2 linked regions of the Oryctolagus cuniculus genome follow. The protein of the gene in region 1 interacts with the protein of each later gene in a biochemical or structural test. Links are inferred from orthologs where the notes say so. Each region holds a gene or a part of one and is shown in the gene's direction. Other genes may lie near its edges. The genes, in order: SMARCA5 and POLE3.

Region 1 (4,408 bases):
CACTGTATTTTTCTGTAGCTTCTCTCCCCTCTTCTCTAGTTCTAGACTTCTCAAAATCTTTTTCCCTTTTGAGTGGATTTGAACATTCTGTCTCTTCTTTCTAGCTTCTCCTATGTATTTTTCCTCTCTAATATTTTCCCAATGATAGTCTTACACAACATGAGAAACTCACATATAAACTAACATGTTAAAAGACAATAGCCATTTTAGAGGTTTTTTTTTTTCTTATTCAAGGACATTGTTTTCTTTGCAGTTTTCTGTAGCTATCAGACTTAAGACCCTTCTATTTATATAATTACATATAATTTTAAGGATTTTTCAAGCCCAGACCCAAGTTTTCTACCTTACACTGTAAAGAGTGGAAGAAAGGGGCTGGTGATACGGCATAGCAGATTAAGTCTCCACTTAAAGTGCTGGCACCGATTTGAGTCCTGGCTTCTCACTTCTGATTCAGCTCCCTGTTAATGGCCTGGGAAAGCAGTGAAAATGGCCCAAGTGCTTGGGCCCCTGTACCCAGGTGGGAGACCTGGAAGAAGTTACTGGTTCCTAGCTTCACCAGGCCCAGCTCTGGCAGTTGGGGCCATTTGGGCAGTGAACCAGCAGACAGATGACCTCTCTCTGTGTCTCTGCTTTTCAACTAACTCTTAAAAAAAAAAAGTACAAGAAATATTCTGACTAGATGCTATATTCTTTCTACATAACAATATACATATTAAATAGAATGCTTACAGGGTACCACCCTAAACACCGTCTTCTTAGTCATCCACACCAACTTTACTTGGTGAAGAAACTTTTTTTAAAAAAAAGATCAATTGTTCATCTAGTGATTTTTCATCTTTCTCATCTCTATGTGTGCACATTAACTTCTCTGCTTAACTTACACCATGTAAATTCAGAAGCAATGCCATCTAACTCTGTACCTAAGGGAAGCAGCCAATATTTAGGAATGATTGACGTAGCTAACATGCGACGACAAAAACAAACAAACAACAAAAAAAAAAACTAACATGTTTTTTCCATGGAGCATCACTTGGGAAAACCAAAACGTCGTGAAGGCCGAGGTGTCACACCTCTAACAGGAGCCGCAGGTGGGTGATGGCCAGCATAGGCCTCCGCGTGAAAGCAGGCAGAGCAAGTTCTGAGAGACCGCCGCAGAGCCAGACACAGAACCCAGGGCGGCCCGGGGAAGCGAGCCGTTAAAAACGCGTGTTGAGAGAGCGATTGCGTCATACCAAAGAGCCGACGCACAAACCTACGTCTCCGAGCAATCCCTCGAGGCCCCGCCCACCCTCCACCCCAGAGCCCGCTAGACGTCCGAAAGAGGAGGGGCCGAGCGCGACTTGGAGAGACAGCGCATGCGCTCTCCGGACCCAGCCGGTGAACCAACTAGCAATCTCGCGAGGGTTGAAAGTCGGTGGCGTACGTAGTAGTCTTGGATGCTGGCGAGCTAGATGATATCTGCCAGAGGAGGAAGAGGAGGAAGCAGAGCGCGATCCCCGCCTCAGCCTCTCTTTCGCTTTCCTTTCCCCTTCCCCTCACACTCCGCCCTCCTCCTCCTCTGCCCGCCTCCCCTGACCTCAGTGACCCGGCTGGCCCCGCCCACCCTCGCCGACGTGATTCCCGCCGTGAGGTAAGCGCCGGTCGAACCCGGAGTCCCGCGGAAGAGGAGCACGACTCGGGGGCAGGCTGCTGGGCCCGGCTCAGGCCGGCGACAGAGCCGCGGCGCGGGCGAGCAGTCGGGCGGGCCTCCCGCTCCTCCATCAGTTGCGTGCGACGCAGCCGCCCAGGCCTAGGCCTCCTGCATCCCCGGCGGCCCGGGATCTGGCAGCAGCGGCTGACGCAGACGGAACATCATGTCGGCGGCCGAGCCTCCGCCACCCCCGCCTCCTGAGAGCGCGCCTTCCAAGCCCGCAGCCTCCGCCGCCAGCAGCGGGAGCAACAGCGGCAACAAAGGCGGCCCCGAGGGCGTCGCGGCGCAGGCGGCGGCGTCTGCGGCCAGCGCGGGCTCCGCGGACGCCGACATGGAGGTGAGGGCGGCTGGTGGCGCGGGGCGGGCGCGGGGGCACGGGAGGCGATCGAGTGATGGAGCTCCGAGGCGCGCTTCACTCCTCTGCACCCGAACTCGGCCTCGGAGCCTGTGAAAGGATGCTCGTACTTTTTGCGCGTGTGCTACGCAGACCCGAGCCGGCGGGGACTGGACGTCTGCCGCTCCACGTTTAAAATGCTCAGTCTCTTTAGCAAATCTTAACACATCTTTCAGCGCTCTTATAACAACGGGTCTGCTTGATTGCTGGGGCCGAAGGGGGATTTACCTTTGTAAAAGCTTTCCCAGAACTGGCTCTCCTATCTAGGAATCTAGGTTTTAGTTTCCACCAAACTTTGTGGGGAGGGCGAGGGAGAGGCCCCCTGGGAGTGGGATACGGGGGTGGGGCGGGGAAGTCGTTTGCGAGCGGCGCATCCGAGGATTCGGGCCTGCTTTTTTTCTTCCCGGTCCCGGTGGGGGCGGTATCTGTCCTGGGCCCAGACAATGGCGAGAGCTGGATGGCCGAGTGCGCAGTGGGGATGAGCGGGGCGCAGCTGCCTCTGTGTAGGGGAAGGAGGCCCCTCCCAGGCACTGCTCCGGAGGGAGGGGAGCGACCCCGGCAGCAGCCAGCTGTCTTGAATCCTCATCTGATCTGGGGAGATGCATGGGCGGGTGAATGGATTAGGAGAACCGTGGGTGGGTGGTTGGGTGGCTTTTAGACCAGTGCGTTTCCCCCTTTTTGGGCTTTGGTCTTTAAAAACAAAGTTGATACCCTCGCTTGCTTGCTGAGCCTTCTGGTGTTGGGTTGGCCAAGCGATGGTGACTGTACTGTGGGGGTGGAAAGATGGGGGCGCTGCCAGCTTGGTCTCTTGGGTCTGTTCCTAGGCGCTGTGATGGCTGGGAATAAAGAGATTGCTCCTTCCAGTTTTTATTTTTGGCCTTCGCCCTGTTTTGAAACATTTTGTAGTTCCAGCCGGAAGGAAGACTTCTGGGAATTTTTTTAAATCTCTAGATAGAATAGAAGTAAGTAACTTCTAAAACTGAGCTTTGATGGAGAACTACCGCAATAAGGAAATGCTGGTGCAGTTCACCTTTGAGGTATTTGGCACAGTAGTTTTGTTTAGGCAACTAGGATGCAGTAGCACACTCGTTTTTAAAGGAACTGTGAACAGCAGTTAGTAGAGTAGTAATTCTGATATTCTCTAGTTTTCAGTGATAGAGATTGTTTCAAATTAAAATGAATTCAGTGTTGCCTTCTCAAACCTCCCGACCCCTTGGGGTTTTGAGTAGTTCTTTTGGATTATCAATGCTGTTTAACTTGGATTCTTGCTCAGTGTCCTAAGGAGAAAGCCTGTGGCACTGAAAGCAATTGTGTGTAAATGTTCAATACTCTACAGAGATGTTCAGAGTTTCCCTTAGCTTTCCAAAAGAATCTGCCATTCAAACCTTTGGCATAACAAAAGTTTTAGAGGTCTTCCTTAAATATTAGAAAGGAGCGTAAATGTTAAGGCTAAACTAAGTGTTTTGGCTTTGAGAAGATACTCTCTTCACTGAATTTGCAGTTACTGAGATTCACTGTTAAACTCAGTTTGAGCACACATGCATAATCTGACCACCTGAACCAGTCTCACAGTTGGTACAAAGATATTTTTAAGTGCCTTTTTTTTTTTTTTTTGACAGGCAGAGTGGACAATGAGAGAGAGAGACAGAGAGAAAGGTCTTCCTTTGCCGTTGGTTCACCCTCCAATGGCCGCTGCGGCCGGCGCACCGCGCTGATCCGATGGCAGGAGCCAGGTACTTCTCCTGGTCTCCCATGGGGTGCAGGGCCCAAGGACTTGGGCCATCCTCCACTGCACTCCCTGGCCACAGCAGAGAGCTGGCCTGGAAGAGGGGCAACCGGGACAGAATCCGGCGCCCCGACCGGGACTAGAACCTGGTGTGCCGGCGCCGCAAGGCAGAGGACTAGCCTAGTGAGCTGCGGCGCCGGCTGTGCCTTTTTCTTGTTTGAAAGTAGAATTTAAGAAAATAATCCCAGGTATTTTTCAGGGTTTTTTTTTTGATAGAGCTGGTTTTTCAGAAACATTATCCAACCTTTCCTTTGTATTCAGTTTTTCCTTTTATCTTGGTACTGATGAGCTAAAGGAACAATCTCATTTTTTGGTTATTACTCTCATATTGACAGTATTGACAGTATGGGGTTTTTATTCATCATTCCCCCTCCCCCCCTTTTTTTTTAAAGATTTAGTTAAGTGGTAGAGTTACAGACAGACAGAGGGAGAGACAGAAAGGTCTTCCATCCACTGGTTCACTCCCCAAATGGCTGCAGTGTCCACAGCTAGGCCGATATGAAGCCCAGTGCCAGGAGCTTCTTCCAAGTCTCCCACA
Region 2 (4,315 bases), on another chromosome or scaffold:
GTATCCATCAAAAGCAAGAAAAATTTGAGACAGCATGTTTCAAGGGGAAAAAAACAACTGGATTAGTTCTCAGTGGCAGTAAGAATTTCCACATACCTAATGTGAAAGGAATACAACTTGAAGTGCCACTGCAGGAGCCGCAGTGTCGTGGGGAAAGCCGCCACCTGCAGTGCCAGCATCCCATATGGGTACCGGTTCCAGTGCCGGCTGCTCCACTTCTGATCCCGCTCCCTGCTAATGTACCTGGGACAGCAGCTGAGGATGGCTCAAATGCTCGGGCCCCTGCACCCACGTAGGGGCTCCTGGCTTCATCCTGGCCCAGCTGGGCACAGCCATTTGAGGAGTGAATCAGCAGATGGGAGATCTCCTTCGCTTTCTCTTTTATATATATATATATATATGCACATATATATATATCAAATATCTAAATCTTAAGTAGTTGGGTCCTGGCCATCCACGTGGGAGACCTGGATTGAGTTCTAGGCTCCTGGCTTCCACCTGGCTCACCACCCATTGGCCAGCATCTGGGGACTGAACCTGATGTAAGATTCCTCTCTCTCTTCCCAAATAAAAAAGATTTGTTAATTACAGAAGAGGAAGAGGAAGAAGAAGAAACCCTTGGGTATGATTTTGCCTGGGAAAGGTGTACGACACACAATGTAATGAACTAAAACTAAACGCAATTTTAACAAGGCTGTTTTAAATGGGACGATGCAGTATTTTAAAAGCGGCTGCTCCCGCCCTTTCCTGCCCAGCCCGAAATGAACCTCTAAGTCTGGTCAGGCGCATCCCGCTGTGAACAAGAGCTCAAGGGAAAAAAAAGGTAACTCCCCAAAAAAGCCTAGCTAACACCTATCCTTGGTAAGGATTAGCACAGCGCCGTGAGGGGCGGAAAGATGGATGGACATCGGCAAGCGCTGGGCTGAAGAAAGATTCCCCGCTGCGTTCTGGAACAGGAAAAACACTGTGGCTGTCGGGAGGGAGCGGTTCCGCCTCGCAGGGTCCCGGCTCCTCGGGACCACGGCAAAGATGAAACCCCGAGGGTTCCCGAAATCCAGGGGCCCAACGCAGCCCCGCCCGGCGAGGAGCTCGGCGGTAATGGCTCACCAGGCCCCGCCTCTCGTCCGGAGGGGCCCCACCCAGCCGCCTCGGCTCCACGCCTCCGTCTCCCACGCGAGGCGCGAGGCCGCTCCGTCGCCAAGCAACGGCGCAGAGCACGATGGGGCTCGGACGGAAGCCTCCGTGGGCCATACTTAGTTCGAGGCGAAAGCTCTGGACGTAGCGGGAGCGTGAAGCAGAGACACTCTTCTGAGGAAGAACGTGCGGCGTACGGTGGGCGCTGACCGAAAGATCCAGCGAGCCAAAACCGCTACGAGCGCAAAAAGTTCGGGTGCAAAGCGTCTTGAGGTGGAGAGGCGGGGCTGGCGTAGGAGGAAGGCTGGGGGCGCGGGGCACTGTGGGACACGGTGCGGCCTACGTGAGGCGGAACGGAAGCCTCGGAGGGTCAGACAGCAGCGGCGCGGGAAGTCCGGACGCTGGAGGTACCTGGGGAGGAGGCCCTAGGCTCAGACTCAGGCCTCGACCGCGGCCATGGCAGAGAGGCCCGAGGACTTAAACCTGCCCAACGCCGTAATCACCAGGATCATCAAGGAGGCGGTGAGCAGCTCGGGCTGGCGATGGGCCGGGGGCGGACGAGCGGGCAGAAGGGAAGCAGGTCCTGGGCCGGCGGCTTTGCTCACTCCCGCCGTCATCACAGCTCCCGGAAGGTGTCAACATCTCCAAGGAGGCCCGGAGCGCCATCTCACGCGCCGCCAGCGTCTTCGTGCTGTACGCCACATCGTGGTGAGCAGGACAGAGCGAGCCGGCGTCCGGCTGGGTCTAAGGCCTGGAGGGTGGGGGGGAGGCACCGGGAACCGCTGCTGGCAGTTGTGGTCTGGGACCCATGTAAACCCCCCTCCCGGGTCTTCCCGGGTCTGTTCGAACAGCAGACTTAGGTACGGGCAAGGGCAGGGTTTACGCAGGTTACGCAAACATCTGTACGGCCAAGATGTGCCTGGGTTCTCCCTTCCCACCCCTGGGTGCCCCTTTTCGCGTCCTAAAGAGGGAAGGGGGCAGCCGTTTAGAGCCCTTTTTGCTTTGTTTCAGTGCCAACAACTTCGCGATGAAAGGGAAACGCAAGACCCTGAATGCCAGCGACGTGCTGTCCGCCATGGAGGAGATGGAGTTCCAGAGGTTCGTCGCCCCGCTGAAGGAGGCCCTGGAAGGTAACGACCCCCGCGTGGCTTCTCTTCTTCTTCACTTTATTTGGAAGGCAGAGAGAGAGAGATCGTTAAACACAGCGAGATCTTCCGCCCTCCGGTTCACTCCCCAAATGCCCAGGTTAGCTATGGCCGGGCCGGGCCGGGCCGGACCCCTGCCCTTCCTCTGGGTCTTCCACGTGGGGAGCAGGGCCCCAAGTATTTGCGCCATCCAAGGTGTTCCGGCAGGAGGCTGGCTCTAAAGTGGCGGAGCCAGGACTCAAACCAGGCACTCCCGTACAGGTATGGGATGCGTGCGTTCCGAGCTGCGCCTTAATCCCTGCCCCCAGTGCCTGCCCGTACCCTTCTGTTTCCCAAACCACATGGAAGACGGGTGACCTGTTGATGTGGCCCTGGGACTGTGAAAGAGTGGCCCAGAAAGCCAGTACCGGATGTGACCGGACGTAGTTCAGTGGCACCACCCGAGACCTCTCGGTGCTGCTCGCCAGGTCCTTTTCTGCTCGTGTCCCTTGGTTTTTCCAGCTGTCCAGTGATGCTGCCGGCTGCGGTCCCCGCTTGTCTCCCCCAGCCCTGTCTCCTAACCCCGCCCCTCTTCCTGCAGCCTATAGGCGGGAGCAGAGGGGCAAGAAGGAAGCTTCGGAACAGAAGAAGAAAGACAAAGACAAAAAGGCGGATTCGGAAGAGCCGGACAAGAGCAGGGACGAGGACAACGATGAAGATGAGGAGAGGCTGGAGGAAGAAGAGCAGAATGAAGAGGAGGAGATTGACAACTGAGTGCTGCGGGAGTCTGGACCTCGGGAGGCAGGTGGGCGGCGGGAGGCAGGCGGGCGGTGGCCGTGGGCTCCGTGTTTGTGCGCTGCTTTGCCCCGGGCTGGAGTGCTGGAGCAGATGCAGGCCGCCAGCCGAACCGGCGCTCCCGACGCCGCGCAGCCGCCTGGCACAGCCCTGTGCCGCTTCCTTGAGCGGGCGGTCGTCACTGAACAGCTCGCTCCGTTAGTCAGTGTGATCTCTCGTGTTGGCTTACATGTATGGCTGGGTAGGTTTTGACCCCCAGTCCTCCTACCCCTGAAGAGAGTCGTAATTCCCCTGCTGCCTGCTGTGTTCCAAGTCTCAGAGGCCATGAGGCTCCAGAAAGCTGGGCTTCCTTGCACACGATGTGGCCGTGGAAACCCGTGAAGTGGTCAGGCGGTTGGCTTTAGGACACTGCTAAGAGAACTGGAGGATTAAAGAAATCTGTTCTGTTGTCTCTCCCCTTGGCAGGAACATCCGTGGGAGTGGATTCTGTTAGACCCGCTCACCCTGGAGCTCATCTGTGTGCCTTAGGCAGCCTGCCTGGGGCGGGCCGGGCCGGGCGCCGCGCTCTGAGCTCACGCGCTCCGGATTGAACAGTGGAGACCACAGGCAGGCAGGCAGGGACGCCGGGGTCTTACGGAGCAGGCGCCTCACTGCCTTCGCCATGTGCACTTGAGAACCTGCTGGAGGCCAAGCCCGCCTCCCGGGCTGGGGCCTGAGCGTCCTCCTTCAGTTCACGGAGAGTTCCAGACCGTCTCCCCTCTAGGCACAGCTCTCCCTCCGCTCCTGTGGCTCTTCTCATTTCCACTTTCTCTCTCAGTCCTGCCAGTCTGGGAACTTTGACAGTCTGCTTAGTATTCCAAAGTGCAAGTCCTTCTGCTTTCTTAGTTCTAATCTCTCGGCTTTTAAAAAGAATGTCATACAAACCCTTTAGGGCAGTCAGATGGCGCTCAGGAATGTAATGGCTGGCCCACCAGCCGTGCCCCCGAGCTGCTTCTAAAGCACCCCTGTTGGCCTCTCTGAGCCTTTCTCTCTTTTGGGTCAGTGCTACAAGCACTGTTCTGTTTGCAGGTTGAGCGCTTGGGTTTGACAGGTAGGGAAGTGTAGTCTGACACTGTCAACTTGTTAAATGAACACAGGGAGGCGTTCAATGAGTGATGGCTGTTGAGAAGATTGTAATGCTTTGTACGAATAAAGAACGTTCTTGTTAGAAGAGATGACGCCTGCGTGTTCCCCGTGTGCTTTTGGAGAGGAGCCACTGATCA

The links.
Region 2: the proteins of SMARCA5 (region 1) and POLE3 form a complex in vitro, tested with the Homo sapiens proteins (2 studies listed by BioGRID). The link is inferred for Oryctolagus cuniculus from reciprocal best matches to the Homo sapiens genes SMARCA5 and POLE3.

Annotation. Positions count from the first base shown.
Region 1 is NC_091439.1:21,029,763-21,034,170, reverse strand, and holds the start of SMARCA5 (SWI/SNF-related matrix-associated actin-dependent regulator of chromatin subfamily A member 5), read left to right. Parts: upstream 1-1,345; 5' UTR 1,346-1,853; coding exon 1,854-2,027; intron 2,028-4,408. UniProt on the Homo sapiens protein: ATPase that possesses intrinsic ATP-dependent nucleosome-remodeling activity.
Region 2 is NC_091432.1:216,998,573-217,002,887, reverse strand, and holds POLE3 (DNA polymerase epsilon subunit 3), read left to right. Parts: upstream 1-1,515; 5' UTR 1,516-1,590; coding exon 1,591-1,656; intron 1,657-1,756; coding exon 1,757-1,842; intron 1,843-2,145; coding exon 2,146-2,264; intron 2,265-2,859; coding exon 2,860-3,032; 3' UTR 3,033-3,063; exon of another isoform or gene 3,064-3,518; 3' UTR 3,519-4,267; downstream 4,268-4,315. Other genes in the region: C1H9orf43 (uncharacterized protein C9orf43 homolog), read right to left, coding at 97-179. UniProt on the Homo sapiens protein: Accessory component of the DNA polymerase epsilon complex. Participates in DNA repair and in chromosomal DNA replication.